Saccharomyces cerevisiae S288C: one gene and its partners. The gene in region 3 interacts genetically with the main gene of each other region. Each region holds a gene or a part of one and is shown on either strand. Other genes may lie near its edges.

Region 1 (4,157 bases), on a different chromosome or scaffold from region 3:
GCATATTTGTCATCTGTTAAGATTGATGAAAATATAATCAGTGTGCTGAGAAAGGATGGAGTAATTGAAAGTACGATTGAGTGCTTGTCTGACGAGAGTAACTTGAACATCATAGATAGAGTTCTGTCTTTTCTCTCTCACCTGATATCTTCCGGAATAAAATTTAATGAACAGGAATTGCACAAATTGAACGAAGGTTACAAACATATCGAGCCTCTAAAGGACAGACTTAATGAAGACGATTATTTAGCCGTAAAGTATGTATTATGATTACGTCCGTAGAAATAAAATGATATTACATTCACCATTTCATATTATCTTTAACCGGAATCTCGAACATTTATTATTAACACTGTTTTATTTTATTACGAATATTTATCAATAGTACTTTCTGTAAAATGGAATTCATTAAAAAGGTAAGGAGGGGGAAATAGAGCTGCAGTGATTTTCAAAACGACTGCCTTAAGGTATGTTCTTATATACAAAGTTTCGTTCGATCATCATTCAATAGTATCATTTGGATCAGTACAAGTAAACAGTTTGTACAATCTTTTTTCTACTGCCTCAGTCATCAAGTATTTACCTTCGTTGTCTGATTGCAGTCTTCCCTTTTCAATATCTTCAAGTAATGATTGAAAACTGGGGTATAGGCTCACGACATTATTCGCCTTCATTTCAGGCATTCTCCCTATCTGATGAAAGGTTTTCTTTAGCGTTTCTGTACTATCCTGAGCGGATTTTACATTCAAATGAGCATATTTCATATACCGAATTGCGGGATCCATGCGCTGTTTTCCAATTAATGACACTAGGTTCGGCAGAGAATTAATAAACTCCATATGTGAATTTACAGTATGTATTTTGACATGCCATTCTCTATCAATGAAGCGCAATCGTTGCTCTAAATCAAATTTTTTTATCCCTAATTTTCCAACTTGGCTTGATTTTTTACTTCTCGGTCTTAAAGCTTCTTCTGTTCCTGACAATCGTTGTTCTACCCTAGCTTTGTACTTTTCATTTTCTAATTGGAAAATAGCTCTTTTGAGTTTATTTATATCGCTTAGTATAAGAATCACATGTTTTCCATTCTTTGAGAAAAATCGTATCTTCCTATATAATTCTTTCTTTTGTGAAGTGTATTGTTCAAAAAATTCTTGCGCATCATAATATAGAATCAAAACGTTTTCTTCAACTATTTTGGGATCACAGGGGTAATAGAAATCGTTACTAAAGTCGTAAATACTGTCACATTTTCGAAGAAATCTTAAAAGCGGCATAGAATCGTTATAGCTTGATTGCACAACTGCTGGTGCCAATTGTTGTTGCAGATCACTGTCTCCTTTTTTAAATAACTGGAGAAGGCTAGGCGAAAACTCTATAATCATTTGAGAGCGTGCTTTTATATTATCTCGATATATCTGGTTAACTCGCTTAAAAGCATTTTTGTTTTCTTTTAACAAGTGTCGTATTTTGTTTTTTGAGTCTTCTCTAGTATAGTATTGCCCATAGGCAATATAATTCTCTAGTTGTGATACCTCTCTGGCAGTATTTTTAGTACATTTGGGATCCTCAGCCGTTAATGTTTTCGAGCGTTTTGCTTCCTGAAAACAATTAGCGTTGCTAAAGATTGGTTGACTACCTGTCCTTACTATGTTAGACCCCTTTGCAGGGGTTGAAAGTACATCAGTAGTAATACTATCTGAGGAATCGAGAAATTTAGAAAGATTTAGTTCTACTGTATCAGGTAGTTTGGTGCTGTTGATTAGTGTTCTTGATAACGCTATGGTTCTCTTCTTTCCTTTCGGAAGGTGTTCTTGCTCGTCTTCACCTTTATTGTATACCCTTTTTGCCATGGATGTCCCATCTTCACCATGATTTTGTTTTCCTGCTGGTTTCAGGCTATTATCTGGTGAAGAATTTTCATTAGCAATCGAATTGTGCTTTTCTTCAGTTGGGTTCTCATGTTTTACTGGAGACAGTGGAAAATCGAACAGTATATCAGCTGCTCCTATCTGTGATTTCGGACTATCACTAATGTCACTATTGGTTTTTCCGATTCCTTGTGTCTTATATTCGCAGTCAACAGCAATAGGCTCTGGATTTTTTAAAGACTGTACTCCCCATTTCTCTGCGATGTCCCTCAAATTGTATTGTGATTTGTTGTGCTTCTTTCCACTCGACTCAAGATCAGCTGACCATTCATCACTTATTAGATCATCCAAAAGTTTTTTCGCGTTTCCTTTTGCATTATTCTCATTTCTGAGAGACGAATCTATGATGGAATTTACTGTTGTAGAAAAGTCATCTAGCTTGCTTATACTGATATCTTGGAAGAACGGCGCAGAAAGTTCGATAGATTTGTTTAGGTCAACATTCTCAACATCATTCGAAACAGATTTTCTTTGCGGTGATGATGGAATCATCTCTGCAGAGCTTACATGTGCCCTTTTGCACTCATCTTGATCCATTGATTCCGAGAGAGCGATAATTTCAACATTTGAGGGTCCATCGATGATCTGAATACTGGCATCGTTTCTTGAATCTTTGTCCTCAACAAAATCAACGATCTGGCTCATTTAACTAGCTGCAATATGTGACTACTATTATTCTATACCATAATCCATACATTGTTCTTTATTTACGTATACAACCATTTTTTTCGTGAAAAGGGTACTTCAACGCGTTGCAAGCCCTTTCCTAAATGATCGAAAATGTTTAAGGTGAATACAAATTTATACGCATTTAGAATAAAGAAGCTGAATAAAATAAAAAAAATTATTGGAAGATTCCAATAAGCCCTGAGTTATCACAAGCAACCAGCAAAGGTGTCTCATCAACTTCACATGTAGATATAGAATTTATAATATCATGATGATATAGAGAATCATCTACTGAATGAGTGCTAGTACGTTTCATTTTTCTCAATAACATTGTGAGATTTGCCGTAACTTGTGTAGGAATAAAAACGTCACTGAATCTTGAAGGACTTATTACTGCTTTAGAAGAAGAAAGCTCATTTAGGCTAAACATAACAATGGAACTTGTTGCTTCATCGGTAAGAAGAATTTTATCATTAGATACTGAGATAGTGCTTAGTGCGTTTAAAGACCTGATTCCACAAAAATTTAATTCTTCTAAGCCTTTCTCAATTGGTAAAAAGTGCTCCATAGATGGCTGTTCATCAGAATTTATGAAAGCATACTGACAATGCCCCTTAACAAAATTCCATATTGTTAGAAATGTTTTTGAACTACCTCCTACAACAATTACAGAATTCTTTCCATAAAACTGACAAACCTCCACATGCGTGATTGGTGCGTGGTCCCCAAAGGACCAACTCCTTATCAGCACGTTGAAACGGATATCCCATATATCAATAATACCTCTAGTCGTCCCCAAAATTAGGACACAACACTCTTCATCGATACAGATGCTTGAAACGGCACCATGCCTTGGAGAATTCTCTATAATTTGTAACCTCTCCAGGGTTCTAATATCAAATATAATAACCCTTGACAAATTCGTCAATGCTACTAGTAGAGATTTTTCCTCATTCACAAATGCTCTCATTCTCACTGCGTATTCATTTTTACCAAAATTCTTCAAGTTAATTTTCCTGATGCATTCGCAATTCAAAAATTTGACTTCACTTTCTTGTTGGTAATGATTAACCTTTAATACAATTATTTGTCCATCTTTACTGGAAACGGCAAACGCGTCAAAGTTAGGAATCATGGTTATCTGAGTTACGGTAGAGGAGCAGTCATAAGTTAAAGAAGAAGAGTAAACCTCGCCCACGATAATCTCTTTCAGGTTCCAAATCTTGATTACACCTTGATCTGAACCTGTTATTAAATAGGGTGTTTCTCCTGGAGAAACAGCAGAAGACGTAATAGAATTGGGTTCGTTTTCCATCAAAGTAGCTATCAACTTGCCCCTCAAATTACCCATGTTTGGACTCCGTACAATCTCTTGAATAGGCCCAAACTCCTTATAATCTCTCAGAGGAGGTAAAATTTTGAAAGTCGATAGGAATTTTTCTATGCTTTCAACGTCGCCTTCATAGCTGTTGCTGACGACTACCTTCCTTTCTGGTTTAACATTTGCATTATCTTTCAAGCCATGATTTGGAGAATGCATGTGATAGGACGTTGGTT
Region 2 (3,914 bases), on a different chromosome or scaffold from region 3:
TAATTTATGTTGCAGCATATGCTTCTGCGATGGGCAGCGTTCCATGGACCTGTGTGGAATTTCTCCCCTTGAACAGGAGATCATTTGGGGCATCATGTATAGCCTGCACAAATTGGTTGACCAATGCATTTGTTTCAATGACATATCTGAGCACTATTAACACCATTGGTGATGAAAATACAATGCTCATTTTTGCTTTTTTCACAGTTTGTGCCTGGTTTTTCGTATATTTTTGGTATCCAGAAGTCAAAGGTTTGTCACTGGAAGAGGTTGGAAGGGTTTTTGATAATGGAATTGATGTTCATTATGTCTTTCGTACCTACCATTGATGAGTTGTCAAGTGGCATCATAATGCATTGGGGCGGCTTTCAGATATGCTTCTGGTATATTTGTCCGTGAGAAATTAAGGCTTCTTTTCTTATATATGTATATATTAGTTAAAAGAATATCATCACTTTTTTCTTTATAAAACCTTGCAGGGATGACTATATTTCAAATTGCTAAAGTTTACCAAAAGCATCATATATCTTTTCTGAAAGAGATTTAGTAATTTTCTTCGCACCAGGTGCATCTCCCAGTACATTAAACATCAACAATTTAGCCTCTTCTTCCGAGGAGCACGTTTTATATGCCATTAGTATTTTATTCAGGGTAGGAAATATTTCTTGGATGGCTACTGCTTTTTCTAAAGATATACCTTTAACAAGCATTAAAACATGTATAGTTAGCTCACCAACCGTCTTTAGATCGCCTTTTCCCATTAGTTCTTGAAAGCATTCAAGATTATGACAGCATTCAATACCGCCTTTTCGTTCGAATTCTCGACGAAACTGTAGAAGCACCTTTTTATAATCGTCCTTGCTTTTAAGGTCACTTGGAAATATAACTATGAGATCTTTTTGAGAATAGTGATGAGAAATTACAGTATGCAACGCATGTATCTTTTCCACAGTTTCATCCGAATTGCAAGTTCTTATCATGGAGAATTTGTAATACACTAAAATGACCCAAAGCGCGGTCTTTAGGGCCTCATTCATATTTCCAATGTTGCCACTCATAGTCTCCTCAATGAGATAGTATTTGTGTTCACAGCCAGATTTCTCTAACCTATTTTTTTGCTCCATAAACCTGTTATCCCTTATACTTAAAGCTAAATCGTCTAGCCTTTTTCTTTCAACTATGGTGTTGAGCACACACTGCAACCCGGTATTTTTATTCTTGGCAACCCATATAATATCACCCAAAGCGAGTTGCCTTATCTCTGACTTCATACCTTTTCTTTCAAATGCCCTTGAAAAAAACTCACGATCAGATTGTGACTTTATTTCTCTGTGATCAATAATTGGGAAAACTTCGAAATCACCACTACACCACAATTCGTAACTTACTCCGTTGTACCTTCTCCTCTTTATTGTGCTTTTAGCCTTTAATGCGGAATCAGGTACTGTTTGATCATCAGAGACCTCTTCCAATTTATGAGAAGATATATTAGTTTGGCTATTCAGTCTATCATTTTTAAATACATTGTTCTGCAGCCTTTGCGGCGTGCTCAAATCTTGAAAAGTTATATCCAGCATGAATGAAGTGTTATTTATATCGCAGGGCTCTTCTTCCTTACCATATTCACCACGGAGGTCAGTCAGATTTGCTGTGAATTCACTACTTTCATTCCTGGTTACGGAATACTCGTTAGGTTCTTCATTTTCTTTTGGAAAAGAGATTCCGTCTGCCGTCTTTAAGCTCTTTGTTAGTTCTACACCTTCCTCTGTTAGCGAATACCGTTTTGGTCTACCTTCCTCAAGAACCAACGAATGTTTTTTAAGTGCAGCAATAGACGACCAAGCACCGTAGAATTCTTTTGTGGAGAAATTTGGAGTCATACAATGGTCACTGTATTTTCCTGCAACCTCGATGATTTGCTCTTTACTAACGCCTCGAGGAATGGCATTAAGCTCGAGTAAGGAAAGAAGGATAGCGTAGCCTCCAGATCTTTTTTTGGGTATATACTTCCTAGTTTTTCTCTTTTTAGTTCCCTTCTCTTCGGGAGCTTCATTCTTATCATTTTCGCATGAGTTTACTATGCTACGCAAAGCTGTAGTAGTCCTCTTTGGTGGTCTGGTGCTACTTGTCTGAGTTAAGGAAGGAGCCTCAACGGGAGATATGTGGTGAATTTTGCAATAGTTCCGTAATTTCGTATCTAATCTCTTTATTATTGTATTGCCAATTCCCTTAACTTTCTTTAGATCTGTAGGATAATAAAATGAACCTTCAGCATTTTGTAAATTCCTTTTTGCTTTTTCATAGGCTATTTTGAGTTGTTCTTGTTTAGGGGTTAATCCGTCAACTAATTCTTGTAACCATTCAATATATAGGTCTTTTAAGTTTGATGAGAGTTCCATGCTTTCATGCTAGGAATGTGTGTTCGTATCAATCCTTTGAAACTTTGTTTACGCCAATGTTGATGCCACTCTTAAAGGGCATTACCGCGATCGGTAAGAAAAGAAGTTGATGACGCGAATAGGCAAAGCAAGATAAATCATAGTAACTATTATACAGGGGAAGGCAGATATCTAATATGGAAATATGATTAAATATGAAATAACACTATAGATGGTAAGTATACGTGAGAATAAACTACAAAAAAGTCAAAAGGACATAAAAGGTGCCCAATACATTACGACAAAAACTGAAAAAGTTAAATAATTAAAAATTGTTTAACCATTCTTACAATTTGTCGTAATATTCTTGCCAGCCTGGAACTTCTTCCTTCATACCGTGTCTCTTACGAGCAGCAAGAACAATTTCACCAGCCTTAGAGGTTGGGTCCAATGGGTCAGAACCTAAAGTGGACCAATGGTCGAAAACCATTTGTGGGAAAGCTTGACCACCAGTAGCTTGTCTCAATTCACCAGTGAAACCGAAAGATTCGTTAACTGGCAAGTAGGCCTTGACGGTAAACAATGGAGTACCTGGTCTTTGTTCTTCAGAAACGACTTGACCTCTCTTCTTGTTTAAGACGGAGTAGATACCACCGACGGCTTGTTCTGGACATTGAATTTCGACCAAGAAAACTGGTTCTTGGATCTTTGGATCAGCCAACAAGAAACCAGCGTAAGTAGCTCTTCTCATGGTTGGGATGATTTGACCACCACCTCTGTGGATAGCATCGGCATGTAAAGTAACATCCAAAATGTTAACTCTGACAGATCTCATTTCTTCACCGAAAATTGGACCTTCCTTGGTAGCCCATTGGAAAGCAGCAACAACGGAATCCTTGATTTCGTGCAAGTATTGGACAGCCTTAGTTTGGTCAATAACCAAGTTTGGACCGTTACCGTCTGGACCGAAACACCAGATCTTTCTGGCATCGGTGACATCCCAACCGTAGTCGTCAGCCATGATTCTAGCTCTGGCCTTGAAATCATCTCTTGGGTTGATGATACCGTTTTCAATAGCCAAAGAGACTTCTTCGTCAATTGGTTCAGCCTTCAAGTAGATTCTGTTATGCTTGTTTGGAGACTTGGACAAAGCAGTTTGAGAAGATTCACTTTCAACAGTTTCTCTGTAAGCGACAACTGGTGGGGAGATCTTCAATGGAACACCAGCGTGGTCGTGTTCCAAATCTTGCAAACAAATTTCCAAATGCAATTCACCGGTACCAGCAACGATATGTTCACCGGATTCAGACATATAGGTCAAGACACATGGATCAGACTTGGACAATCTCTTCAAACCTTCGACCAATTTTGGTAAGTCGTTAGCGTTCTTGACTTCGACAGCGACTTGCACAACTGGAGAGACAGAGAATTTCATGACCTTCATGTTGTGAGCAGTTTCACTGGTGGTCAAAGTACCAGTCTTCAACAAGAATTGATCGATACCGACTAAACCGATAATGTTACCGGCTGGACAGT
Region 3 (8,499 bases):
TTTTGCAATTTTATTTCCCACTAAGCAGCTTTTTCACTGGCGGTGGAGGATTGCTTTTCATTATTCTTATGATGAACTATTTCAAACTCATTGGTGTTTTCAGAGCTAGTTTTGACCAACTCAGGTATTTCATCGTCGGAGCCTTCAGGTCTGTACTCGTGGCCGGTAGTGTAACCTTCGCCTAATGTGTAAGCGCGGATTTCTTCTTCAGAAATTTCACTGTATGGAACCATGCCCTTCTTTCTTGCTTCTTCGTCAGTAAAGGCACCATAATAATCTTTGTCATCATGTTTGACAGTAATTTTGAATGGGAAGAGGAGGCATAGTCCCCAATAGACGAAAAAGGAGATCAAAAACGAGAAGAAGGAGTCACCGTAAAAGAAATTGACAATACCAGTGTTGTGGAAATAGTCATTATTGACTTCCCAAGCAATACCAGGTAGACCGGGGGTCATACCACAAACCCAGGCAACAATAGCTCTCCAGTTAACACCCTTAGTGAAATAGTATTCACCCTTGAGAATAAAGGCATTAGTGATGGAGTATTGTCTTTTTCTGATCAAGAAGTTATCGCAAATCATGACAGAAATGATAGGAGTCATGACAACACCGAAAGAACTCATGACAGTCAAGAAAGTAGAAGAAGAGTTGTAGAAGTTCCATGGCAAACAAGCCCAGGAGACACATGCGGCAAAAAGGGCACCCCTCTTGATGTCGACATACTTGGGTAATAAACCGGCCAAATCCATACCACTGGCAAACCCACAGTTGGAGATGGTGTAGGACATTTGAGATAGGACAAATGAAAGACCACAGAAGAACGCACCGGCACGAGCACCTGCAGAATAGTTAGTTGTCAACCAATGGTTGAAGATATCCATAGGCATCCAATATTGTTCACCGTATAGTTTGTCACAGGTGGAGGCACCAATAACACCAAAAACTGGGATTAAAGTGGTTGGAATTAACAATGCACAGATGGTACCGGCCCAGATAGCCCAATTGGAGGAACCAAATCTCGAGTAATCACTTTGGTTGGTGGAACCTGGAGAAACGGAACCGAACCAGTACGAGATCATATAAACCCAAGCCCAAGCTTTGGTGGAGCCAGTGGCAGTGGATTTAGTGGAGGTAAACAATTCTCCAACACCGTGAGCCTGTTTAGCTAAATAGATCACCATACCCAACATAGAGAAAAATGTAGCAACACACGACCAAATTAAAATGTAGTTCATGTGGTAGGGTTTCATTAAGTAACAGAATGCAGTAAGGACGTGGAAGATGATAAAACCAATTAATTCTTTAGTGGTCATGGCAACTTTCGAAGATAAGGTGTTTGGCAGGTGCAAATAATGGTGAGACCATGAATCCAAGATCATATTGATACAAAGACCTCCCACCCAAGCGTTGGACCCGTAGTTGACAATACTCATCAAAATTCTGATGATGATACCGAAGGCAGAACCGTAAATACCAAAGACGAATCTTTGGGCCAAAGTGAAACCGACCTTCCAGTCGTAACCAGGACACGAGTTTGCCAATGTGAAAATAATGGTCAACACATCACCGACGATAAATGTACCAATGGTTTCTGGGTAACTTAATCCAACACCTAGTGCAGAAGAGGCACTCATCCATGTACCCACTGAAAAGGACATAACACCCCAATATGCAAAATTAGACCAGAACCCCCATGTTTGGTTAGCCGACTTAATAGGTTGCAAATCCGGGTTCTTCAAGAAACTCACAGATGCCCTGTCTTTGACAGGAATTTCCAAAAATCTCAAAGCCCTGGAGACTTTACTACCGAAACTCATATTGATATAATGCAATTGGCTCTACAGTCCTTTAAATGATGTTGCGATGAATCTCAGAACAATAGATGCTAATATGAGTTCTGGAATAGGAAATGAAATGGTAAAGCTTCCCGATGACTTCGAGAATTGTATCTCACATATATACCTAATAAAAAAAAAGAAATTACATTACAATAGAGGATGTAAAAATTTCGCTTTTTTTTTTTTTCTATTCTCTTCCTCTTTTCTCTTCAACTACCCGAAAAAGGTATGCATACTATTTGCCTTAGAAGCCCGATCGATGAATCCTCTCCTCTTCCATATAAATCAATAAGGCAACCTCTAGAAAACGCCCATTCCTGCCAAGCGCTTTGCAGCCTTATGGCCGTACTCTGTGCATCCGCTGCTCATCGGCTCTCTGAAACCTTCCCTATGCGTTTGGTAGTCGCGCGTGAATATGCTAATTGGGGCGCCTTCCAACATGCGTTTACGCGGCGCGCTGGAGCTTCTGTGGCGGCGACTTCTGCATGGTTTGATGCAGTTGCGGCTGGTACTGAAAATGCACATATGCAGTCAGCTGAATCATGCAATTAAGCGGAGAGCTTTTTTGAAGACAAAGGGCGGCAAAAACGCCTTACATGGATGCCTTGACACGGTCATAAACTTGCAAGAGAGTATTCTTGCAGGCATTCGTCTTGTGCCAGTACTTCCTATACTTCTCGACTATGTCCTTTACAACATCAGTCTTGGAGGCATGACCTTCGCAGATTTTCTTGAGGTCTTGCTCCATTTCTCTGCGCTGGAAGGGCTTTGCAAAGGAGTCTTCGAGGCCGATGGCCTCGAAGCCGTGCACTAGTGAGACACCCAGGGTCGTGGGTTGTAAGTAGGTTTCCTTGCCTACTTTCTCGCTCCTAACGTAATTACGTACTTGGATCTTGTCTATGTGCTCCGCAATGGTGGCGTCTGTGCCAATGCCGTTTGTATCCATGAGGAGAATGAGTTCACTCTCAGTCATCGGCTTGGGCGGCGCCGTAGTGCCCGCCTTCATTTCGGCCTTCGCGATGTCTACGAGGGCATTCATTTCAAGCCGCGGTAACTGCTTGGTGGTTTCCCATCGGGCCCAAGGGTAAACATCGAGGAAATTTCTCTCTAGGACTACGAGACCTGAAGCTGAGAAACGTTCAACGGCCCAGTCCAACACAAGGGTCATCGATTGGCCCTTGGCGTCCTCTGAGCAGCATGCCAAAAAGTGCCTGGCCACGTACTCGTATACTCTTCTTTCCACTGGCGAAACATTTGCTTCAGGCCCCAGACTTACGATGGGGTGGATTGGTGGATGCGCTTTGTCGTCATGGGAGCCGCTTCGTGGAAACTTGAACTTGTTATTGTTACTTGTGTTTTCGGGTTGGAGCAGCGATGCCGCGTACGATGCCCAGGCGGTTCTGCCGCCTGCAGCGAGTTGGTCCAATTGAGCTTGCTTTTCGACCAAGGATTTTAGGTCCATTGCGTGTGGGAAAGTATCAGTCTCTGTTCTTGGATACGATATGAACCCCTTTTGGTATAGCTTTTCTGCTGCGTCTAGTGATTGTTTGGCGTTCAGACGCAGGTACCGGGCGCAGTTTTTTTGTAGCTCCACTGTGGTCAGAGGTAAAGGTCTGTATTTCGTTGTTGGCTTTGATTTCAAGTCTACTACTTGAGCAACATTGCCGGCGGTTTCGATGCATGTCTCGTAAAACGTTAACACGCTCAGCCGGTCGAACAAGTGGCCCCTGTCCCACTGGAACGTTGTTGTTCCGCCGTTGTCTTTGTTTTCGACTACCAATTGGATATACCAGAACTCTTCGGGAACAAAATTTCGTATTCTTTCAAACCTGTCTACTACAAAGCCGAGCGTTGGAAACTGGCATGTACCATACGATACGACTTGTGAGTCGTTCTTGTTACCACCGCGGTGTTTTGCACCATCCTTGGTCATGGTGGCTTGGTTTCTCAGTTTATTTCGTAGCGTTTCTGTTAAGAGTCTGGTGAATGTAACACCTGCTCGAAGATCGATTTCAATCCGCGTGCCTACAGCGTGCACACTCTTCATATCCAATCGACTTGGGTTTCGTGCTGCATTTAATATGTGTTGTCTTTCGAGATGCGAAAAGACTGCCCGGTATACTTGATCATTTTGTATGAGCCTGTTGCCTCTCTTGGCCTCCTGCCATATCTCCCAACCGATGTACTCTCCTTCCCGGTCGCAATCTGTCCATATCATCAGATAGTCTGCATTCCTCGCTTCTCGCTTGATGTTGCTTGCTATCTTTTTTTGGTTGTTATTCATAATCTCGTTCAGTGGCGCATCAAATAACTCTTGGATGGCGCATTTTCCCCACCCATGCGAATCATGGCTGAAATCAATGCCTGTTAGGTGCCCTGCAACACTAGTCATGGTAACTTCGCAGTTAGCCCCATTTCTGGCAAACGGGAACCCACTAAACATGAAATCATAGTTCTTTACATACATGTAGCCGGAATCCCTTGAAGTTGATCTGCCTCCTCCTAGGATCTGTGAAACTGCCTTCGCTATAGAATTTTTCTCTGCGACACATAGCACTTTCATTATTGTCTATAATACACCTTTACGTAGCTGAAGCGAGCGCACAGACGAAGGTGCTTTCAAAAGCGATGCCCTCTTTATTGACAGTTACTAATTCGCCAAACTGCTTTTTTTTATCAATGTGATTTTCGCGTTCACGCCATTATCCAATGTCAAAAAGGATAATGGAAATGTTAACATGCCTGTATGATCCGACCGTTTTTAGCAAACTTATCAGGGGAAAAAGTATATTCCATTAAATGACACATGCCACCATAGATAATGGATAATGAAGAAGTTAACGAAGAATGTATGAGATTATTTTTCAAGAACGCTCGTGCGCATCTGGATAAACATCTAACATCAAGGTTGACATGCGATGAAAATGCATATATCACGTTCAGATGCTTCCTGGATGGAATACATCGCAAATCTACTAGGTTTCTCGAAGAGCTACTTTTGAAACAAGAAAATATGTACCATAATAACAATTACGAACGCATAAATGATTCCGTGATACCATTGGTTCTGAAACTTTTATGGCTTCAAATTCACGAACCTACACTCCAATGGTTTGAGCACTGGTTCCATGATATCATGCGACTAAGTAACAGAAGAAAGTTCAGAGTTTTTAGAATTTTTCAAAAAAAAATGATTCAATTTTTCAAAATTACACACAGGTATTACTATGACATCATCGAACACCTATGCGCAAAGTACGATATGAATTCCGTTATTTCAAATGCTCTCTTCGCGAAGTTGAATTTAATGCAATACACAGATGGACTTTCAACTCATGAGAAAATTATCTTAAACACGAGTAATCCACTGACGTTTTCCATTGTAATCTCACTACAAAGATGCGTGATTAATCTAGGTTCCACACATTTTTATAAAACACTACTAAACAAGCCGTCTAACAAACCCAAGAGTGTGGAAGGTTTTGAGAAGTCTATTAGGTACTTGAATATTGCCTCACTCTATCTCCCAGCCGTTGGAGATACTTATTTTCAACGAGCGAAAATTTACTTGATCACTGGGAAATTCTCACTGTATTTCTTTGAATTAGTAAGAGGAGCATTGGTAAGGATTCCGTCTAAATGTGCGTTAAACAATTTGAAAGATTTCATTTTGACTCCTGATTTTCCGGAAAGAAGACGTCTGATGAAAAAATTGGCAATTCTTGTGTCAAAAGATCTCAAAGGTGAGAAATCATTCTTTGAAGGTCAAATTGTTTTGCAATTTCTATCGATAGTAGAACACACTTTGGTTCCACAGTCATGGAACGCATCACGTGCTTCTAATTGTTGGTTATTGAAAGAGCATTTACAAATGGCTGCATTAAAGTATCATTCAGGTAATATTAATGTTATACTTGAAAACTTGGCTGCCACAATGGGAAGTTTCGATCTTATGTTTACAACTCGAAAAAGTAAGGAACAAAAGAACAAACTCAAATATGCAGATTTGAGTGAGCGCCAGGTTTTTTTTTTAGACTTGAGCTTTGATTTTATTGCTAATATCATAGACGTCGTCATCAAACCCTCCTGGCAAAAAAACATGGAAGACTTTCGATATCTAGCCATTATTCGTTTGCTTATGTGCTGGATTAAGTCATATAGATCTATTTTGCAGTACACTCACAGACACAGGAAGTTTTGCACTTCATTCGCCTTGTTGCTGAACGACTTGATAAATAGTCCACTGAATTGTTCAGGAAATATATATAGCCACAGGCCGAAAAGAAGCTATCTTTTTAGAGAAGATATTATTTTCAGGGAATTTTCTTGCATTAACTTTGCACTAACAGATTTTAATGACGATTATGTGTATGATTCTCCCGACATGATTAATAATATAATTGGATGCCCTACATTGACTAAAGTGCTTTCTCCAAAAGAAGAATGTGTTCTGCGAATTAGATCAATAATATTTTCTGGCATGAAATTTTTAGAGAAAAATGACACCGGCGTCATATGGAATGCCAGCAAATATAAGTTTGATTTAATAAGCCCAAATATTAAAATAAAACGCCAAATAGCATTATCGGAAATTTCCTCCAAAATAAATGTAAAAACACAACAGGAAAGAGTAGTCTCTTCGAGAAAAGTTGAGGCCAAAAGAGATGAACAACAGCGCAAAAGAGCCGGGAAAATAGCTGTGACAGAACTGGAAAAACAATTTGCAAATGTCCGGAGAACAAAAAAATTGTCTCCGCTCCCAGAAAAAGATGGCGTTTCTTCTGAGTTGGTAAAACATGCTGCTTCACGAGGGAGAAAAACTATCACTGGCCCACTATCCTCTGATTTTCTCTCATATCCAGACGAAGCAATTGATGCTGATGAGGACATCACCGTCCAAGTGCCAGATACTCCTACTTGAGAGAACAAGTAATGGTGAGGGAAAAAATCATAATATGAAATATATTATGACGACGTCAATTAACGTCGTCCACGCCTGTCGTCGTCAACCCACGAAAATATGGGGGCGGTTTTTATAACGGTTATTAAAACGACGGGATGCCGTCTACGGCACGGACAAACCCATCGCTTTGGAAATAGGTGACTGCGCTTGAAAAACATAATTATTTATTAGCATAATAAATTCAAGACAGCAAATATATATGCTGTCAATACGTACATATTAAGCCTAAATATTCTGTGGAAAAAAGAAACAAACTGGTAATTATGGAGAAAGCTTTGGAATTAGACGGAGAATATCCGGAATCTCTGAGGGATGAATTCAACATCCCTACATTTAAATCCATGGGACTATCGTCCGACGATAAGCCTGTGACGTACTTATGCGGGAATTCTTTAGGTTTGATGCCGAAGTCAACTAGGAATTCAATTAATGCTGAGCTAGATGCGTGGAGCGATTGTGCTGTGGAATCGCATTTCAAACATCCTGAAGAAGCCAGAGGAAAGGTGCCTTGGGTCAGCATTGACTTACCTATTCTTCCACTACTAGCCCCCATCGTGGGTGCTCAAGAAAATGAAGTTGCAGTAATGAATAGTCTCACTGCAAATTTGAATTCATTGTTAATTACGTTTTATAAACCTACTGAGAAAAGATTCAAGATCCTTTTTGAAAAGGGCTCCTTTCCATCAGACTATTATGCTTTCTACAACCAGTGCAAAATTCATGGAATTTCGGAACCTGAGAATGTTTTTATTCAGATCGAGCCACGCGAGGGAGAGACTTATATCAGAACTCAAGATATCCTGGATACCATAGAGGTAAATCAAGATGAATTGGCGCTGGTCTGTTTGTCAGGTGTTCAGTATTACACGGGGCAATATTTCGATATTGGCCGAATCACCTCATTTGCCCACCAATTCCCCGACATATTGGTTGGATGGGATTTAGCACACGCTGTAGGGAACGTCCCATTGCAACTTCATGATTGGGGTGTTGACTTTGCCTGTTGGTGTTCTTACAAGTACTTGAATGCCGGGCCTGGTGGAATTGGTGGCTTATTTGTCCACTCGAAGCATACTAAACCAGACCCTGCTAAGGAAAGTTTGCCAAGATTAGCTGGTTGGTGGGGCAATGATCCTGCTAAGCGATTTCAAATGCTGGAAGTATTCGAGCCGATTCCAGGAGCATTGGGATTCAGGCAATCTAATCCAAGCGTTATTGACACAGTGGCATTGAGAAGTTCATTGGAATTATTTGCGAAGTTTAATGGTATTAATGAAGTTCGTAAAAGATCGTTGTTGCTGACGAACTATATGACGGAACTGTTGGAAGCCTCCAAGTATTACAAACACCCTTTAAGGATCGAGAAATTACCATGTTTTTTTACAATATTAACTCCAACAAGCACAGATGAAGAACATGGCGCCCAATTGTCACTTTACTTCGATTCTGACACTGGAAAAGAGGATATTATGCCCAAAGTTTTCCAATATTTGCATGACCATGGTGTCATTGGCGATGCAAGAAGACCAAACGTAATTAGATTGGCTCCTGCTCCCTTATATAATACATTTTCAGATGTATACATTGCGGTGAATGCACTAAATGAGGCGATGGATAAGTTGTAGTCCTAGAGTGACCGCATCGCCTTCATCTTCTTTTGGATATTATATATGACGTAGTTTGAAATTCGTATACTTA

Evidence for each region. Genes that interact genetically often act in the same process or in processes that back each other up.
Region 1: mutations in TOP3 (region 3) and MMS4 are lethal when combined (synthetic lethality), as found in Saccharomyces cerevisiae (5 studies listed by BioGRID, with this or other methods).
Region 2: mutations in TOP3 (region 3) and MUS81 are lethal when combined (synthetic lethality), as found in Saccharomyces cerevisiae (6 studies listed by BioGRID, with this or other methods).

What each region holds. Positions count from the first base shown.
Region 1 is NC_001134.8:439,934-444,090, reverse strand, and holds MMS4 (Mms4p), read right to left. Parts: upstream 2,577-4,157; coding exon 501-2,576; downstream 1-500. Other genes in the region: Hsp70 nucleotide exchange factor FES1, read left to right, coding at 1-270; ubiquitin-binding serine/threonine protein kinase VPS15, read right to left, coding at 2,776-4,157. UniProt on the Saccharomyces cerevisiae protein: Interacts with MUS81 to form a DNA structure-specific endonuclease with substrate preference for branched DNA structures with a 5'-end at the branch nick.
Region 2 is NC_001136.10:1,244,569-1,248,482, reverse strand, and holds MUS81 (Mus81p), read right to left. Parts: upstream 2,400-3,914; coding exon 501-2,399; downstream 1-500. Other genes in the region: CIN10 (Cin10p), read left to right, coding at 1-329; EFT2 (elongation factor 2), read right to left, coding at 2,725-3,914.
Region 3 is NC_001144.5:605,685-614,183, reverse strand, and holds TOP3 (DNA topoisomerase 3), read right to left. Parts: upstream 4,402-8,499; coding exon 2,431-4,401; downstream 1-2,430. Other genes in the region: thiamine transporter THI7, read right to left, coding at 21-1,817; YLR236C (uncharacterized protein), read left to right, coding at 2,067-2,390; EST1 (Est1p), read left to right, coding at 4,660-6,759; BNA5 (kynureninase), read left to right, coding at 7,065-8,426. UniProt on the Saccharomyces cerevisiae protein: Releases the supercoiling and torsional tension of DNA introduced during the DNA replication and transcription by transiently cleaving and rejoining one strand of the DNA duplex.